Linked DNA regions of Oryzias latipes. The protein of the gene in region 1 purifies or fractionates together with the protein of each later gene. This does not show direct contact. Links are inferred from orthologs where the notes say so. Each region holds a gene or a part of one and is shown in the gene's direction. Other genes may lie near its edges. The genes, in order: phlpp2, usp1, usp46, usp12 and Na(+)/H(+) exchange regulatory cofactor NHE-RF1.

What was found.
Region 2: the proteins of phlpp2 (region 1) and usp1 purify together in Homo sapiens (affinity purification with mass spectrometry; 3 studies listed by BioGRID and IntAct, with this or other methods). This does not show direct contact. The link is inferred for Oryzias latipes from reciprocal best matches to the Homo sapiens genes PHLPP2 and USP1.
Region 3: the proteins of phlpp2 (region 1) and usp46 purify together in Homo sapiens (affinity purification with mass spectrometry; 4 studies listed by BioGRID and IntAct, counting the BioPlex papers as one, with this or other methods). This does not show direct contact. The link is inferred for Oryzias latipes from reciprocal best matches to the Homo sapiens genes PHLPP2 and USP46.
Region 4: the proteins of phlpp2 (region 1) and usp12 purify together in Homo sapiens (affinity purification with mass spectrometry; 3 studies listed by BioGRID and IntAct, with this or other methods). This does not show direct contact. The link is inferred for Oryzias latipes from reciprocal best matches to the Homo sapiens genes PHLPP2 and USP12.
Region 5: the proteins of phlpp2 (region 1) and Na(+)/H(+) exchange regulatory cofactor NHE-RF1 purify together in Homo sapiens (co-immunoprecipitation; 3 studies listed by BioGRID and IntAct, with this or other methods). This does not show direct contact. The link is inferred for Oryzias latipes from reciprocal best matches to the Homo sapiens genes PHLPP2 and NHERF1.

Annotation. Positions count from the first base shown.
Region 1 is NC_019861.2:21,093,653-21,097,962, reverse strand, and holds the start of phlpp2 (PH domain leucine-rich repeat-containing protein phosphatase 2), read left to right. Parts: upstream 1-1,508; 5' UTR 1,509-1,841; coding exon 1,842-2,048; intron 2,049-4,310. UniProt on the Homo sapiens protein: Protein phosphatase involved in regulation of Akt and PKC signaling.
Region 2 is NC_019862.2:16,397,664-16,400,243, reverse strand, and holds part of usp1 (ubiquitin carboxyl-terminal hydrolase 1), read left to right. Parts: intron 1-956; coding exon 957-1,058; intron 1,059-1,222; coding exon 1,223-1,404; intron 1,405-1,518; coding exon 1,519-2,156; intron 2,157-2,259; coding exon 2,260-2,418; intron 2,419-2,542; coding exon 2,543-2,580. UniProt on the Homo sapiens protein: Negative regulator of DNA damage repair which specifically deubiquitinates monoubiquitinated FANCD2. Also involved in PCNA-mediated translesion synthesis (TLS) by deubiquitinating monoubiquitinated PCNA.
Region 3 is NC_019862.2:999,728-1,003,244, forward strand, and holds part of usp46 (ubiquitin carboxyl-terminal hydrolase 46), read left to right. Parts: intron 1-1,304; coding exon 1,305-1,518; intron 1,519-3,517. UniProt on the Homo sapiens protein: Deubiquitinating enzyme that plays a role in behavior, possibly by regulating GABA action. May act by mediating the deubiquitination of GAD1/GAD67.
Region 4 is NC_019878.2:17,506,766-17,510,282, forward strand, and holds part of usp12 (ubiquitin carboxyl-terminal hydrolase 12), read left to right. Parts: intron 1-55; coding exon 56-291; intron 292-425; coding exon 426-502; intron 503-1,100; coding exon 1,101-1,184; intron 1,185-1,254; coding exon 1,255-1,452; intron 1,453-3,517. UniProt on the Homo sapiens protein: Deubiquitinating enzyme that plays various roles in the regulation of the immune response and inflammation.
Region 5 is NC_019877.2:24,330,286-24,334,533, reverse strand, and holds the start of Na(+)/H(+) exchange regulatory cofactor NHE-RF1, read left to right. Parts: upstream 1-1,447; 5' UTR 1,448-1,544; coding exon 1,545-2,015; intron 2,016-4,248. UniProt on the Homo sapiens protein: Scaffold protein that connects plasma membrane proteins with members of the ezrin/moesin/radixin family and thereby helps to link them to the actin cytoskeleton and to regulate their surface expression. Necessary for recycling of internalized ADRB2.

The DNA of each region.
Region 1 (4,310 bases):
CATTTGCTTCTTTTGTTTGGATGAAGCCATTGTGTAAAGGGCTTGGAAGAGCATCTGTCTCCCTGTTTGTTAAGAAATAATTTAATCCACTGTGTTTTGAAAACCTGATCGGTGTCCCGCCCCCTCCAACACTTATCCTGGCTGAAAAGAAAAAGATATCCAAATTATTTTTGGGGTTGGCAAAGGCATGAGGTTCACTTTTTTTCTTGTCACCTTTGACAAACCAGTTTTTCGGTTCCATGGCTTCAAGGAGTGAATGAATGTCGGACTGAAAGTATGAACTTATTAAAGATGAGAAGCTGTAAAATATTAAATGGGATATTTTCAATTTATGCTGTGTATTCTTGTCTTTGGGTTGGAGAAAATGATCAAGCAAATAAAAAGTCAAATAAAAGTGGAGTTCAATGATAGAACTGTTGTTCTTAGTTTGGTGTGTGGTGGCTTTTTTATTAATTTTATCATGCGGAGTCATGGCTGCACTTGCATTTATCAGTAAGTCCTGATTCATTCAACAAGTTTGCAAAAACAAACTAACAATATGTTTGTAAAAAGCCAAAAAATAACATCTGAAACTTTCTGTTATCCAATCATGGTATAGCTTCTTTTTTAAATTCTCTATTACATATAAAACAAGTTTAAATGAAATAAAAATTATTTTTACAATTACTTTAAATTCTATTAGATTTTATCAGTGAGCAATATTTTGTCTTTACACCCTGTTAGACATTGCCTCAACACAACAACCCTGCCACCTTAAGTGTCTTGGATGCTTTATATTTGTCAGCAATAACGACTGTTTACAATAGATTTATGTCTTGAACTTATTGCTTTTTTCATTCCATATCTTCAAATTAACGTGCGACCAAAATATGCAGAGTTAGGTTTATTAAAGTCCCACTTAAATCATCTTTGGATCTATTTTAAAAGCATTTCCAGTAATTATTAGATTAGAATTATGCTGGGTTTAGCCCAAATAAAGTGTAGTTTTCTACTACAGTTCCTGCATGGCAGCTGTAGTTTATTAGAAATTCACCTGAGTTGTGGGTGGGACTGTTGGTGCAGAGTAAGACCACCCTACCTTCCCATCATCCTCTTCTTTACACTTTCTCCTGCTTGTTTACAAACTCCTCAACCTAACATTAGCAGTGCAACAAATATGGTTAGCAATATTGGAGCTATCCAGCCGTACAGTTTTAAGCCAGACGCAAACTCAGAAGAGGAAAATTAATATGCTAATGGATCTATTTGTCTGCAAGTGGATGCATCGGAATGGAATGGAGCGGAGCACAGAGCTTGTGGCCTGTCATAGGCTCACACCTACAGGCTTTCCCCAACTGCATTCTTTCATCTGCTCCTGATTCACAACGATTTAAATTAAGACATACTCATAAATACAATTTTAGGCTTAAGTTTTCTTTATAATTGTCCTCCATCATGGGAAAATTGTAGCTAGAACATGTAAAAAAACACCATATTCAGAGTGCGTATGTAAACCAGTTTAGTATATTTTATTGTTGCTGAATCTAATAGCAATTTTTGTTCTAAGTTTTTTATTTTATTTTGAAAGCTGTGTTTATTTAAAGCCCCTTAAACTGCGCATGCCAACAGATATTCCCATAAAAACGATTTGCGCTCATAATGTCCGCGATCCTAGCCCCGCCCATGTCCGCGCGCCTGGCCCCGCCTATGTCATGTTTATTGAGCAGCCCTCTGCAGGCCTGTGCGGCTCCAGTCGCATCAGTCGGGACATGGCGTCTCTGCGCGGACGCGGGATGCTGTTTCGTCTCTCCGTGGGAATCGGTCAGCCGCTCGCCTTCTGGACCTCATAACCGGAATCCCACATGACGATGGAGGACGAGGACGGCAGCGCGGCGCTCTCCACCCGCAACATCCAACAGAAGCAGGCAGGGGGTGTCGGAGGGAACGGGGCTTGCATCGACAGGCAGCCGGACACGGTGGTCCACCAGGCGGGGCTCAACCACACCACTGGTCGCGGCAGCCGCAGCGGTCCCGGGGCTCATTCCGCGACCGGGATCCGAGTGCTAAAGGCAAGTCCCACCGTGACCGACCCGTGATGCTGCGCGTGAACCACGGAGTGCTGAAAACATGCCTTTATGGCGCTGAAAGACGGAAACGGAGCAAAGTGCAGGCGATGAATGCCTATTATGTAACGGCGTGTGTGTCAAGTGTGCTGATCTCCATTCATTGAGAGGTAAAGTCACAGCAGCCAGAAAGCAGGCAGACCTGTCATGTCGAGGCCTTCTGCCGGACACCTGAGAAGATGACAGCCAGCCTGACAGTGCACATTACTCACATATTACATCCAGAATAAGTAGTATTATACCGTCATTATGTTTTCAGGTAAATGTATTTTCCCCAAAGTGTAACCAGTTTCACATCATTTGCACGTTATATTGATGCGTTTGCCACTATGCAGTGAAGTTTTGCATTAGACAGCAAGACTCGCCACACCTGGAAGGGAGCAGTTGCAAGAATATCAATGATTACCTTTTTTCTTCTTGCCAAGATTTTCATGTTTCCCCCCTGCAACAGGTGTGACATTCAAACTCTGCTCCTGCTGTCATTGAATTATGTGCCTCTGTTGAAAAGCTCAAACAGAGGAGAGACCTTAAAAGTAAAATTAAATCCACATTTATTTACATTTTTAAGTTTAATGTTCTTAAAATGAAAAAATACTAAAATGGAATATAAATCAATAATCAGATTATAAGTGTTAGAAATAGTCAGTTCTTATCAATTGCAACAACATATACATGAAACTAGTCATTTTAGTCTAGTTTTTTCTTTTAGGAATGTCATACTAATTTAGTGAAATTTGCTTTGTGCATTTACATTTGTGCATATGGCATTTACCTGCAGCACAAATATAACTGCAAAGTGACAAAGTCCTCCTGGTTATTTGTTTTTCACCAGTTTCTAGTCCCCATAACCTCTAAAGAACCAATCAGACTGCTTAGATTGGAATGCTCTGCAAATATTTTACTTAAAAACCTGACTGCTGGGCCTCCTCTGTGAGGAAGCGTCTGTGTCAAAGCTGCACGTTTTTTTCCGTGTTGTGTTACTACAACAAAAAAAGAGACCTCCTGCCATGGACATGAGCTCTTTCATGGAGCTCCTCAGACGCTTATCCACTTCAACATTTGTTGTTATATGAAAACATGACCCTAGGGGTAGATAGGACTAGGTATCACTGCCAAACAGTTGATTCTGGATTCACAAGTTCATCATGGTAGAATTTCCATTTCAACTCAATTCAGTACTAGTTTATAGTTTCAAATGTGCATTCTGGTAATGAAAAAGCAGGGGGGGAAAATCAGGAACTTTTGTTGATAAAATGATGAATTCTAATATTAGAAACTAACAGAGAAGCTGGGTTTTACTTGAAAAAAAGCAACAAAATGGATTTAACAGAAAACCAATAGATTTGATAAATACATTTAGAGTTTTATAAGTAAAGAATAACTTAATTATTCTAAATTTCAAACCCAGCTCTATATCCTAAACCATATAATGTCACATTAGATTGTAATTTGTCATTTTTCTTCTAGGAAGACTGAGGATACACGAAGACTATTGTTTGAGCCACTTGACCATCCTATTTTTTATTGCATAATTTCAAAAGTGTCCTAAAAGGTGAAGTTTGATACCCTTCTGATGTCTTTAAGTGTTAATGTAATTATTCATTTTTTTTCCCAGTTTATCAGAAAATAATTGATTTTATTTTGGCCTGCACAATAAATCACAAGATTATCATTATGGCGGTATCAAATTGTGTAATACACATATTGCAAAATATGGCGAAAATTGCAATAAATGCTAACCTTAAATATGCTAAAACAATCTTATGGCAGCTTAGAGATTTAATGAATCAAATAAATCCATTTATGCATTTGACCAATCGGATGGAGCCCTTTTAGATGCTGGCCTCCTATGCAAATGAGGGTCATTTAGACTAGAGTATAATTTAAGCGATGTTGACTCTAAATGAAACTGTTGCAGTGAAATGGAGATTATGTTTTTTGTTGTTTTGCTATTTGTTCATGTATCACAAGTTTTATTGCCATCGCAATATTGATCATTAATATCCCAAATGGCAGGTTTTCCTTATATCATGCAGCCCTAATTTTAGTGATAAATGCCAGAATCAAAGGACCTGAAATGAATCATTTGCAAGATCATCTTTGGTTTAAAATGACTGGACTTTACACAAGGAACTGCAGGTGGAAAAGCACAGACTTTCAGTGGACGGTTTAATTTCATGCAAGAAAGTGTTTTTTTTTTTTATGGTG
Region 2 (2,580 bases), on another chromosome or scaffold:
AGCAAGTCCTTAATGGAGAGTCAAACTAGGGGTTTGAATGAAAAATCATGATGCTCCAATTAGTCTTAGTTTCTTGATAAAGAAGTGAATAACTAGCTGCCAGAATGCACCAGAATGCATCTAAGACCACGTATTTTTCCAAAATTTCGCTCTGTGCCCGCCATATCGCTCAAAGAAAAGTTCAGGGATTTTTTCCTTACCTGACTTTCATCACTGTAAAATAAACAAGCCCACAAACTGAACTGTGTTTTGTGCGAGTCCAATTGGTTCACCAGTTCTTAATTTTTTTTTACCCCTTGTATGTCTTCTGTTGTTTAATGTCCTATAAAGAATTTTTTGTTTTCCCGACACTAGTGCCCATCTAGCAGGCTGAAAAATGGCCTTCCTAAAACCCCAAAATGTCTTTCAAACTGAAAAAGCTGTGTTTATGTCGGAGCAGAGTATAGCTCGAGATAAGCGGCTGCTTCACATAGTTGCCGTGGCGCCCTGCATGTCCATGTTTCCTCGCTGGTTTATCTGCAAAAGCAGTGTTTGGATGTGAGGAGAGTGACAGTGGACACTGGCTCTGCTGCAGTTAAACACCTGTTCAGACAGATATGGGACTTCCTGATTGGTGGACGAGATGAGAGACATTTACTTAGTTATTTTTAAGAAATAGGATAAAAAAGTCTGCCTTTTTCATCATTCTGCTGACTCAGTTTTATATTTTTATGATTTTGAACATGGAATATGTTGTTTCATTATGATTGGCTAACCTTTTTTTAATTAGTAAAAATAAAAGATGAACAAAAATATAATATTGTAACATTTCTGTTTATAAACTTGAAAAACCTTTGAACTCTGCCTCAATTGCGTCTTAAAATACTGGATGTGTTCTATAAAATGAATGCAATCCTTTAAGATAGGAAAGGGTCAAAGGTTAAAGTGTGCGTGCTCATGTTAAGCTGTTTGTGCAGGTTCTCCATTATTGCCCGGGCTTCAGAGAAGGTATAAAGACGCTCTATGATCTGTCCAAATGTCAGGAGAATCCAAAGGAAGGGGCAGTTGAAAGTGAGAAGGTTGGTCAACAGTAAAGTGTATTAGAACACAGAAATCTGACATTTGTGAATTAAGCTTTTATGTTAAAATGTAAAAGTACACAAACGTTTTTAGGAGTTGTTTGTAAAAAAAAAAATGCAATTTCTTTAATGTGATCATTTTTTTCATGCCTTCATCCCCTCAGACACAATCTAAGTCGTCAGATTGTTCTTCTGAGCCTCTGCCGGCTGCCGTTGAGCTCCTGGGAAGCCTCAACAGTCTGATAACATCTGTAGAGGAGCGGCAGTCCAACTTCCTGCTCAACCCTGAGAGCTTCTCTGAAGGAGAGCTGGCCACTCCGCCCTGTACAGTTCTGCATACGCTCAGGTGAGGCTTCCACATGGTATCCCAGTCATTGCATTGCAGTGAGAGCCAGCACCCATGTTTTCCCGATTGAAGGAGAAAGAGGAGATCCCAACGGATCCATGTTCTGTTTTGCAGGCAGCTGAACCCCATGTATGAAGGCCACCTCCAACATGATGCTCAGGAGGTTCTGCAGTGCATATTGGGATACATCCAGGAGGCCTGTGACACCATCAGAAAGGAACGTGAGGAAGAAAGTGAAACCGATGTTGGAAAAGTGAATATGGGGAACGACAGCTGCTCTGAGGCCCAATCCACACTAAACACTGAGGAAGACGGTCAAGTCACCGGCAAGAGGAAGAGTGACACAGAGGTGGGAAACGTGAAGAAGAAGCCCAAGTCTGGCAAATCTAAGAAAGGAGAAACTGGAGAGGAAAACAACACAAGCAAACCCTTCACTCGCTCCAAGAGGAAGTCCTCCAGTGACACGACGTTCACTCAAAATAAGACCGGAGCGGAGGTCAAAGAGGGGGGAAACGAAGAGGAGAAAGACCAAAAGCAACCTAAAACCATGGATGGGAAGCGGAAGAAGAGAACGAAGCTGAGCTGGCTGAGAGCGTCTGGGAAGCAGCCCGGAATTTTCTCGAAGTTCTGCAGCGTTGGAAAGATCAGCTCCACAACAGGAAAGAACAACAAGGCAGAGCAGGAGAACCAACAGAGGGACAAGGAAAACGAATCTCCACCAACTGAACACAAGAACACAGAGAAACATAAAGGTTTGTTTGGGGAACCATTTGAAGTCTGGAGAGGAAACCATGTTTTAACTGATTAACCCAAAGCAGCGCTCACAACTGAGCCATGTATTCTTGTTTGCTTCAGGGAGTCTGGGCCTGATGGAGCGGCTGTTCCAGGGCCAGCTAGTTCTGAGGACTCGATGTCTGGAATGTGAGAGCTTCACGGAGAGAAGGGAAGACTTCCATGACATCAGCGTCCCAGTGCTGGATGACCAAGCCAGCAGCCCAGACGACTTCTCAGAGGGTGAGTTTCTACAGCCGGTTTCAGGGCTGTGACAAGTTCAGGCGTCTCCTGGAGGTTCTTCCCCTTTATCAGCCGTGAATAGAAAAGTAAGGAAGAAGGGGAGTCGATGGTTTTTCTTCTTCAGTCTCTCCAGAGCCTAAACCCGAGCTGAGGACTCTGAAG
Region 3 (3,517 bases), on another chromosome or scaffold:
TCTAAATATGTACATCTGATATTTATATGAAAATCCTTTTAAGATTGTTAAAAATAGCTCAGATTTAAATAATACATGTAAATTATTCATTTTTGTTCATACATTTATTAAACAAATTGGAAAAACAATGGCTGCATTACACTTTAGAACAATAATTTCAACTCAAGTAAACTTAACAGACTCTCCTGTCGCTGTTCCTCCCTTCTAGCCCTTTCCTCCTCTCTCTTCTGGGTCTTTAACATAAACCTTTAACCCAGTACGACAACGATTAACCGTTTATTAAAATGAAGTCAAATCTGATCATATGTCTCTACCCATCTGGCACGAGCTAGCTTGAAAACAAACAGGCTATCTTTCTCCATCTGCAAATGGATCGGATTTTCCTCATCCTCGTCTGTCCCTACATATATGAACACATTTAAAACATGTGTTAATAACTTGTGACTACGGTTAGAAGTCACTGCTTTTTGATGTAATATCTAGCGTTTGTTTTTAGCCTTCGGCGCTAATTCGCGTTAGCTTTAGCATTACTGAAATTGATGAGCTTCAAAACAATCTAGGTTGTTGATTGAGGAATATAACATATTAAACACATCATCTTAAGTATTTACAAATATATTTTACAACAGATACTGGATATTTTTTAATATACTTACACGTTTCGGTGGTTTTCCTTGCGCAACCGGCTGCCATTTTCGAATGATTCAGACGAATGATTATCTCGCGATAATCAGCCAACATCCGTTTCTACTGAAATGCCTTCCGTTTCTGTCGAAAATTTCAGTAGTGTGTGTGAGAGGATTTCAGTAGTGTGTGTGAGAGGATTTCAGTAGTGTGTGTGAGAGGATTTCAGTAGTGTGTGTGAGAGGATTTCAGTAGTGTGTGTGAGAGCATTTCAGTAGTGTGTGTGAGAGCATTTCAGTAGTGTGTGTGAGAGCATTTCACATGTGTATGTGAGAGATTTGACATGTGTATGTGAGAGATTTCACATGTGTATGTGAATGAATACATTTTCAGTTGTATGTATACAAGCATTTCACTAGTGTGTGTGAGAGATTTCACATGTGTATGTGAATGCTAATTCTGAATAATGTCCTACACGGCACCTCATAGCCAAAGCTGTGGTGTTAAAGACTCTCCATCTGACCTGGAATCGTGACCTCATATTAAAAAAGCAGAAATGTCGTTTTTCTTTATCATCTTCGGTGTGATGCCTACAGATTCATTCTTCTGCGTTCTGTTTGCTGGGGCTCAGAAAAGTAGGTATTTTTATAAAGTAACTGGTGTGCCCTTGTCCTCCTCAGTTTGGAAACACGTGTTACTGTAACTCCGTGCTGCAGGCGCTCTACTTCTGCCGGCCTTTCCGGGAGAACGTGCTGGCCTACAAAGCTCAGCAGAAGAAGAAGGAGAACCTGCTCACGTGTCTGGCCGACCTCTTCCACTCCATTGCCACACAGAAGAAGAAGGTGGGCGTCATTCCACCCAAGAAGTTCATCTCCCGACTGCGGAAGGAGAACGGTGAGAGGGCAACGTCCACGCTCTTCTCCACGAAATTCCTCTTCTGCTTTGGTGGAACTTTCAAGGTCTCAGTTTGGCTGGACGTGAGAAACTCCAGGGAAAACTGGGAAGCAGGTTGACATTCCCATTAGAAGTCTGAACACTCTTCTTCAGTGGTGAAGAGTCTTTTAGATCCAAATACTCTGATTACTGCAGATCTGAATTCAACTCACAATTTTAAGTAAACTTATAGAGAAAAGTGTTGCTAATCAACTACATGAGATTTTAAATGCAGCAAAACATTTTAGAAAAATAACAGTCTGGTTTTAGGACAAACCACAGAACAGAGACGTCTCTTTTAAAGATCGTTATACCGCGGTCTGGGTGAATACTCATTGGCTGCTGGGTGTGCACTAAACAGTGATAATCCACAGTGATAGTGTACACCTAAAAAAGTAGTTCCGGTCACCTAGCTTAAATGTTTTGTATCACTTGTTTAAAACAACCTTTATCTTCATCATTTGGACAAAAACAAGCGGTAAGAGGTGAACTTTCTCTCTGAACTGATGCTTTATTTAACACATCATGACCATCAGCACAGATACTTTCCTTTGCCGCAGCTGTTGAGGTCGGTACAGGCTCCGCCCGTTGTCATGTTACCATGACAATGTGCCACACAACGTCATAAATAGTCCGCTTTTTGTGGAAAAAAGCGATCTAAACTGACAAAACAACAAGAAGAAAATACTAAAAACTAAATCTTCATTTCTTTTGTGAGTGACCATAGTGTACCGTAAGCAGGTTAATGACCTTTGAAGTCTGCAGTATCAGCATCAACATACTTTGCAGAAGCAACCGTTCTCTGGCTTCCACCGCATACGTTTATTTTCTGATGATGCACATTATCCCTTACTTTATGATATTAGAAACAAATTAGACTCACAGAAACTTTCTGTTCTGGTGCTGCTGGATCTTAGATACAGTTGATTGGACAGACGTAGGAGTCTAGTGGGCCTCTCTGGAAATGTTCATAAGTGGTTTTATTCTTACCTTACAGACCAACACTTTTATGTAAGTATGGATACATGGTCTTCAGGAATCCATGAATTAAGTTGTGGGGTTCCCCAACGGGTCGAATTTGGTTCTACACTGTTTAACTTTTATATGTTTCCTATTGGTGATGTCATCAGGAGACACGGCATTGACTTTCACAGCTATGCTGATGATACACAACTTTACAATGCTGTATCTCCTGATGACCTTGAACCTATTAACACTCTAGTCGTGAAAGGCAGAAAACTTCCTACAGCTCAACCAGGACAAAACTTTTAATCATTGGTCCTGAAGACGAGAGAGAGATGATTTTACCCAAACTTAGGAATTTTAAAGACCTAAACTTATGGTGAGCCTTCGTTCTGCCATTATGGTCCTCGCCTGTGGAACAGCCTGCCGGAGAGCCTCAGGGGCTGTCCGACAAAGCAGGGGTCTCAAACTCGCGGCCCGCGGGCTATTTGCGGCCCCCAAGACGATATTTGGAGGCCCCCACCTTAATATGAAAGTGTAATGTTAGTGCGTCCCGCCAGTTTTTTATGAATGACAGTATTTCAGTGTTGTGTGCGGAGCTGACAAACCAACCAATAACAGTATAGTATATGACTCTTGGGGGCGTGACATTGACCAGGCTTGAAAGCAGGAGAACATTTAGGGAAACCTGACAGCCCCCCCCCCCCCCCCCTCCCCGGACCAGGAGGAGTTCCTTACTTTCCTTTTTATTTTAATGTTTTGTAACGTATGTAGCCTATTTCTTAACAATAGGTTTTTTAATGGATTTCAATGGATCACTTTAAACTACAAGAACTGTCTGGACACCGTTTCCCACAATGCATTTATTTGCAGTCATCAGGGCGGCTCACAGTCAGCGCAGTACCAAATTTGCAGCTGCGTTAGCTTAGGTTGCCGCCTTTTTGCTCGCACCCCTTTCTCGTGATATTTTTGTGACGTGACGTTGGAGCAAAAACAA
Region 4 (3,517 bases), on another chromosome or scaffold:
CAGGATGTAGATTACAAATGATCCTGTTGTAACGGCTTAATCTGTTACATTTCAGAGCTGTTTGACAATTACATGCAGCAGGATGCCCACGAGTTCCTGAATTATCTCCTCAACACTATTGCTGACCTGCTTCAAGAGGAAAGGAAGCAGGAGAAGACCAATGGCCGCCTTGCCAATGGGACATTGGACTCCCAGAATAACAACAGCAATGCTACGCCTGCACCCACCTGGGTCCATGAGATCTTCCAAGGCACTCTGACCAATGAAACCCGCTGCCTCACCTGTGAAACAGTGAGCTACATCAGCTTTTTGTTAAGTTGCACTATCCTGTTTGCTAAAGTTAAAAAAAAGGGTTAATTTAATCTAATTAGACTAATATTTTTCAAGTTCAGTTGCATGTGTCTGAAAATATTTTTTCTGCTCAGATAAGCAGCAAGGATGAGGATTTTCTGGATCTTTCTGTGGATGTAGAACAGAATACCTCCATCACTCACTGTCTCAGGTAAAGAAAACTTGTTGAATGCATATCACTTCCTCATTTTTGTCTCGACAATAACTTTTGTCAGTTAAAGTGCAATCGTAGACTGAATTTGGGCAGTTCTTATAAAAAGCTTTTCACAAGTTAAAGCAGCGAATAAAAGTGACTTGTAAAATATTTTGTTTATTGATGGATGGAGCTGATTCCTCAGCATGATGTCAGCCTTGTGTTGAAAAAGTGCTCAGCTCAGCTGGGATGAACTGTGGCAGCCGTGGACCCATTAAACCCGGCTGTCTCGGGGAAAGTTTGTAAAACCATCAAGTGACAGAATGATGTGTGTGTTGGCAGCAATTTTTTAACCTTTCATCACGTTGGCTCTGCAAAGAAAAGAAAAAATCAGTCCACCAAGGCTGCAGTGATGATATTTACTGCTGAAGCAGAAGAGGCCTGTGCATGACGCTGAATCCCAAACTTGGCTAGTATTACTGCTAAATGATGTTCATAGAGGTCGTGGGAAAGTTGCTTAGTTTTAGACGATTAATGTCTAATTAGAGCTTCATAAATGAGCTCGTATTACATAACATTTTATAGCATGCATTAACCTTTTTCCTTTATCTGTCAGGGGTTTCAGTAACACGGAGACGCTCTGCAGTGAGTACAAATACTACTGTGAAGAATGTAGAAGCAAGCAGGAGGCACACAAGAGGTGAGCGCTTCAAGATTCTTGCACGCATACGTTGGGCACTAATTCCCTTTTTGTGTCATTTTGTTCTTAGGATGCGTGTCAAAAAGCTGCCGATGATCCTGGCTCTGCATCTAAAGCGCTTTAAGTACATGGAGCAGCTGCAGCGCTACACCAAACTGTCCTATCGGGTCGTCTTCCCCCTGGAACTGCGCCTCTTCAACACGTCAGGAGACGCCACCAATCCTGAGAGGCTTTACGATCTGGTCGCAGTTGTGGTACATTGTGGGAGGTATGTATGTGGAGAAACAGGCATCAGCATCATATTATCCCCAGATATGAAAACGAATTACTTTCTTACAAAGTATTTAATTTTTTGACAGCCTAACTGCCATTTTGGGGTACGTGCTGATGATTATTGACACAGAAAACACATGGAATCACTGGCACATTACAATCTTTATCAGACAAACATCTTAAGGAATCAACTTTTAAACCTCATAAGATGTATGTCCTTTACTAAAAAAATGATTTAAAATGAATTTTTTAAATAACTATTAACATTTTTATTTTCAGAAGACATTGGACTCATAAATGATTGTTGCAAAACTCTCATCATTAGATTATCACTTCCTGAAATCAATGACATCATATTAAAAAAGAAAAAGAAGGGAAGAAAAGTAGTGAGCGTTGTGTCCAAATTGCTTTTAAAATCTAGGGCACTACATAGTCCCGCACTATATAGTTTTTTAGGAGTTAAGGATCAGGGTGGGAATTCGGACACAGCTCATGACTTCCATCACCAATCGTCAATGCAATCAATCATGTCCCGGTAGCCAATGGGCTCAGAGCGTAATAGTACATTAAGGACTGAAAAATCAAAATTTAAAAACACAAGACGGTATCTGTTACAAATAAATATACATATTTTTTTATTTCGTTGTAAATATTCAAAAAGTCTTTTAAGTTTACTAGCCGTCCACGGGGCTTTGTTTTGGCTCTGCTATCGTGTTTGTGCAGCGTGAATAAATAGTTCGCAGAGTCTTGGTCAGAAATCTACTGGTAAAGATGTTAACTTGTAGTTCCACAGTAACCCAAAATGTTGCTGCCAGTTTATCCATGTTGTTTTGTCCTTGTTAGCCTACAGTGTTTTTTTTGTTTGCTTTTTGTCAAATGTTAGTATTTTTTTCTTAAAGTTAAATGATATTTTTTCACATAAAAAAGTTTGAATTTCAATTTTTCAATAATTTTCTAAAATATAATATATATATATATATATATATATATATATATATATATATATATATATATATATATATATATATATATATATATATATATATATATATATATATATATATATATATATATATATATATATATATATATATATATATATATATATATATATATATATATATATATATATATTTTTTTTTTTAACTTGTCCTGTCCAACAGCTGGGCAGTCACATGAGAGCTGAGGGCCTCTTGGGTTGGACATATTTTACTTTAACAAGAGGGGTTATTAATCTTCAGACAAACCAAAGGTATGTCTGAATAAACCCCTTTTGTAATTGAGGCCAAACTTTATTAATTTCAAACATGTCTGAAAATCTTTGGTGTTGGACCGGACGGAAAAGGAAAGAGGGGAAGAAGAGAGAGGGACGTTAGAGAGAGGGGGGGTAGGGGGTGATAATAGAAGGGGAAGGGGGATAAGACCATGAAGCAGCATAAAGCAACAAGTTTACTGGTTGTTAGCAGGAAGTAGCAGAGATTGGAAAGGATGAGGTTAGGAAGGCTCTGAAAAGGATCAAGAGCGGAAAGGCCGTTGGTCCTGATGACGTACCTGTGGAGGTATGGAAGTGCTTAGGAGAGACAGCAGTGGAATTTCTAACGAGGTTGTTCAATAGGATTTTAGAGAGTGAGAAGATGCCTGAGGAATGGAGGAGAAGCGTTCTGGTTCCGATCTTTAAGAACAAGGGTGACACGCAGAACTGCAGCAACTATAGAGGAATAAAGTTGATGAGCCACACAATGAAGCTGTGGGAAAGAGTAGTGGAAGCCAGGCTTAGGAAGAAGGTGGAGATTTGTGAGCAGCAGTATGGTTTCATGCCCCGTAAGAGCACCACTGATGCCATTTTTGCTTTGAGAATGTTGATGGAAAAGTACAGAGAAGGTCAGAAGGAGCTGCATTGTGTGTTGGTAGATTTAGAGAAGGCGTATGACAGGGTGCCGATGGAGGAGCTGTGGTACTGTATGAGGTCGTCTGGAGTGGCAGAGAAGTATGTCAGAGTAGTTCAGGACATGTATGAGAGAAGTATGACGGTGGTGAGATGTGCTGTAGGTCAGACAGAG
Region 5 (4,248 bases), on another chromosome or scaffold:
CGACATCTTCTCAGTAACCGTCTCGCAGCATGTCTCCGCCATACCAAAGTAATCGAGTAGAAAGTGCTGCACCTGACGTGAATACAGACGTTTAAAATTCAGGACTCGATTTGGACCAAATTAAACTGACCCAGTCTGAACCAGCAATCCTTTCCAGTCTGAATACACCCTCAGTCCATCAGTCAGACTCCAACTCTCCAACATGGAAAGACTAAAGATCTTTCAGTGGATTAAAGGAAGAAGACCTGCACCCGACCAGAATGGACTACAAAACCATCAGCAACAAGCTGGAGGTTAAGGTGACAACTGTTAGTGCAGATGTGTGAGAATACAAGAATTACAACATGACCATCATTCCACCTAGGTCTTGAAAATTAAATTGGATTTGGTTAAAGACCCACTCCAATGAAAGTGGTGTTTTTAACATGTTCTCGTAGCATTTTTCTCACAGTGGACGACATACATAAACGAATTTAAGATTAAAACTGCATTTCTGAGTCCCTTGTTTTCATCTTTCAAATGGTGATGTTTAGCAGATGAAAACCTGCCTTTTTTGAAAAAGCTCTCAGTTGTGATGCAAAACTGAGATGGGCGGGCGAGCCCCCACCCCCTTTCTGCTCCATTCTGATGCACTTGCAGACAAATAGATCCAAGTATACTTTTTTTTCCTCATTCATACCGTTCAAAACTGTAGCTGCAATATTGCTCGCCATTTTTATTGTGCCACCAATATTAGCTAGGAGTCGGGAGGGGCTTTAGACTAGCGGGAGAGAGTGTATGCAAAGGGATGATGGGGAATCAGTGGAGGCTTACTTCCACACCAACAGTCAGAGGTAAATTCTGATAAAGAGAATGTGTCGTAAAAAACAATGCAGGTTTTTATTTGGGTTAAAAACTGTAAAATCATTATTAAAAGAACCCTGAGAACAATTTCCAACATATAAAATACTTGAAAAACTGGAACTTTATAAATCTTAAAAGATTATAATAATATAATAATATATATAAAGATGGGGATAATATAAAGAAAGTGTGAAATGACTAATCTTTTTTTTTTTACCACATGACAAATGCTTGTTTAAAGCAGCTGAGCTAGTCTGGTTTAGCTGAGAAAATGTTAAAAAAAATAATAATAAAAGTATAAAAGTACTTTCTCGTTATTACGAGAAGCTGTTCCAAAAAATATTTTTCGCAGTGGCAGCTCAGAGCTTCCGTATAAAAGCGTCTATAATGAAAGAATAAAACTAGAATGTTAGTGAGAGTCATCTTATTTTGAAATTAAGTCAGTTAAGGAAATTGACACGGCACTTCCGGTGAGGGGGTGGCGCGCGCTCGAAAGGGGAGGGGACAGAAGCTCTCCAAGCCGGGGGGGGGGGGGGGGGGGGGCGTGGGCGGGGCCAGACTGTGGGCGGGCCCGCCGCGTGCCTCAAGAAAACTTTAACAGCTGAAACTTTTGACGTGACTCAGTTTAGCGGAAGTTGCGGAGTGGCGCGCGGCAGGCGGCTCGTTTTCGGCTCCAAAGGTGTCTGCTGTCAGAAACAAAGATGTCCCACCTTCGCCCCAGACTGTGCTTGATGGAGAAGGGAGTCGCCGGGTACGGGTTCCACCTGCACGGGGATAAAGGCAAGAGCGGGCAGTTCATCCGGCTCGTGGAGCCCGACACCCCCGCCTCCGCCGCCGGGCTGCTCGCCGGAGACCGGCTGATGTTCGTGAACGGGGAGAACGTGGAGGGCGAGAGCCACCAGCAGGTGGTCTCCCGGATACGAGCGACCAGCGGCGCCCTGGAGCTTATCGTGGTGGACGACGAGACGGCGGAGCTGCTGAAGAAGCACAACCTGCAATGCCGGAGAGAGTTCGTCACCGAGGGGATCCCCGTGCCCGGCCGGGACAGCGACTCGGACCGCGGGGACGCCCAGAGCAACGGCACCCCGAGGGAGGCGAGCCCGCTGCCGCACGAGAACGGGGACGCGTCCTCGGAGAGGTCGGGGAGGCTGAGCATCACCTCCAGCAACAAGGTGTGTGATCAAGAAAGTTCCAAACGCTTCAAAACTTCAGAAGTCACGTGTTGTTTCAGATTAAATTAATCCGAGGTTGATCAATTGAGCACGTGACTAACCTGTCCTCCCAGTTTTTATTGATTTTAAATGAAATGTTTCGGGGATGAAGTTTCTGACTTGGACGACAGAGCAGCCAGCCAGCCAGCCAGCCAGCCAGCCAGCCAGCCAGCCAGCCAGCCAGCCAGCCAGCCAGCCAGCCAGCCAGCCAGCCAGCCAGTCAGCCAGCCAGCCAGTCAGCCAGTCAGCCAGTCAGCCTCTTCCTCCCGAGTGACCTTGTGCTCATGAGCACAGCATGCAGATTATAACCAGCCGGTGTCCTGGGGATCTTTCCGGATTATTGCCAGAGAGAGTTTCCATGGAAGAGGCTGATAGGTGGAGACTGTGCTCAGTTTTTATTCATTGATCTGTTTTCGAAGCAGTGCTCTTTCAGTTAGGAGGCTGTGTTGTTTTCCAGGACATAGTTTCTGCAGAGCAGCAGCAGTTCAATAGAAATTCACCTCTGAGTTGTGGCCCACCCAGATTATTTTCTACGTCACAAATGAAAGCATTTGTTTTTTATCTGTTCCTGTTTCACAGCGATTTGTCATTTTTAGCCTCATTTACTTCATAAATGCCGTCTATCGTGAGACAAATGACCCAAAAACATGTTACAAACACAGAAAAGTGGGTCCTTAAGACGCAGGAGCAGCGCAAATAATACAAAAAATGAAATGTTTTAAAAACCCATAAATTCTACAAGACTTTCTTCTATGGAAAATTTCCAGAAGTGATCCACCTTAAGAAGTTGGTTACATCATCAGAGGATAATTCAGTTCTTATCTTTAGCAGAGATAAGAAGACTTTAAAGGCCGGCACAGCTCGGGCTAAACTTCACTTAGATCATCATTAAGTAATTGAATATTCCACTCTGTGCTTCATCAGCATTTTATTAGTTTTTTCCTGTTTCTATTCTTAGTTTTTAATGGACAAACACGGGACTCCTGCTGTTTTTTGGGGGATGAATAGATGCAGAACATTCCACTCTTCTGTACAATCATTCAACACTAAAACATCAAATTATCACAACAACAATTAAAACAGCAAGACAAGGAATAAAAAAACAATTACATTTTAGAAATCACAACAAAAGTAACACTGCATATGATTATCCAATCAGTGACGTCCCATAGTGAATCCATTTCATGTTTGTTTTTGAAAATAACATTTCTATTTGTGGAAACTACTTTTTGTCCCAAATTGTTGCTTTTTTGTGTTTTGGTTTCTGGAATTTTGTTCTGATTTCTAAAACTTAAGCTTGTTTTCTTTAAAAGCTGACATCTTACTAATCCATCCTCCAATATTTAGGGAGAGTTTGATCACCAGAGTGGTTATGTTGTCATTTACATTTATAGAAATGTTTACAAAAGATCCGTACCAACGTTTTACACATATGTAAAGTTCGTAAGTAACCTCATTGTTTTGTCTTTTTCAGTCATTGTCCCAGAGAGGCTTTCCCTCCAAAATAATTGAAGTTAAATTCTCCCATAAATGTGCAGATTTACTGGTGTGTGTTTAAAATGTCGACTCATTTGCGTTTAAACAAAACAAACGTCTTGTAGGCTGGCTTTGTCTCTCAATGCTCGCCATCAAACTCTTGTATCTGCTGCTGTCACGTCTCCTCTTTGCTGGTTTATAGATGCACTCACTTTACTTTCTGCCTTGGCCTCCGGTCTCCTGTCAGAGCATCAGTCATGTGACCAACACTAGACGGCGTGAACTGGTCTGCTATCCTGATTCGACAGAGGCTTGTGTGGGTCTTACACTTTGACTTTACAAAACCTAATTTAGTCTTTTTGTAAAATCCCTTTAATGGGGGGAGTCTTTTTTTTCCTCCATTCTTCTCTGTGGATTTTGTTCCAGATAAAAGCAGAATTTCTGTTTGGCGATGCCTGTGAGTCATACGTCACATGACTGATTTGGAAAATAATCCTGTCATTTCACCTGTTGTGATTGATCAGAACAAAGCCCAGGCAGGTCTGGTGAAGTTATCTGCTGTTACAGGAAAAAAAAACGAGTTTGTCTCATTTCACCCTTCAATACCAAACGTGTCACAGGCGACAGCGGATGACACGCGTGTTTTGATCTACCGTAATGTCAGAATGTTTCAGAATGAAAGGGTTAAACGTACTTTGATTGCTGAGACCATCACATT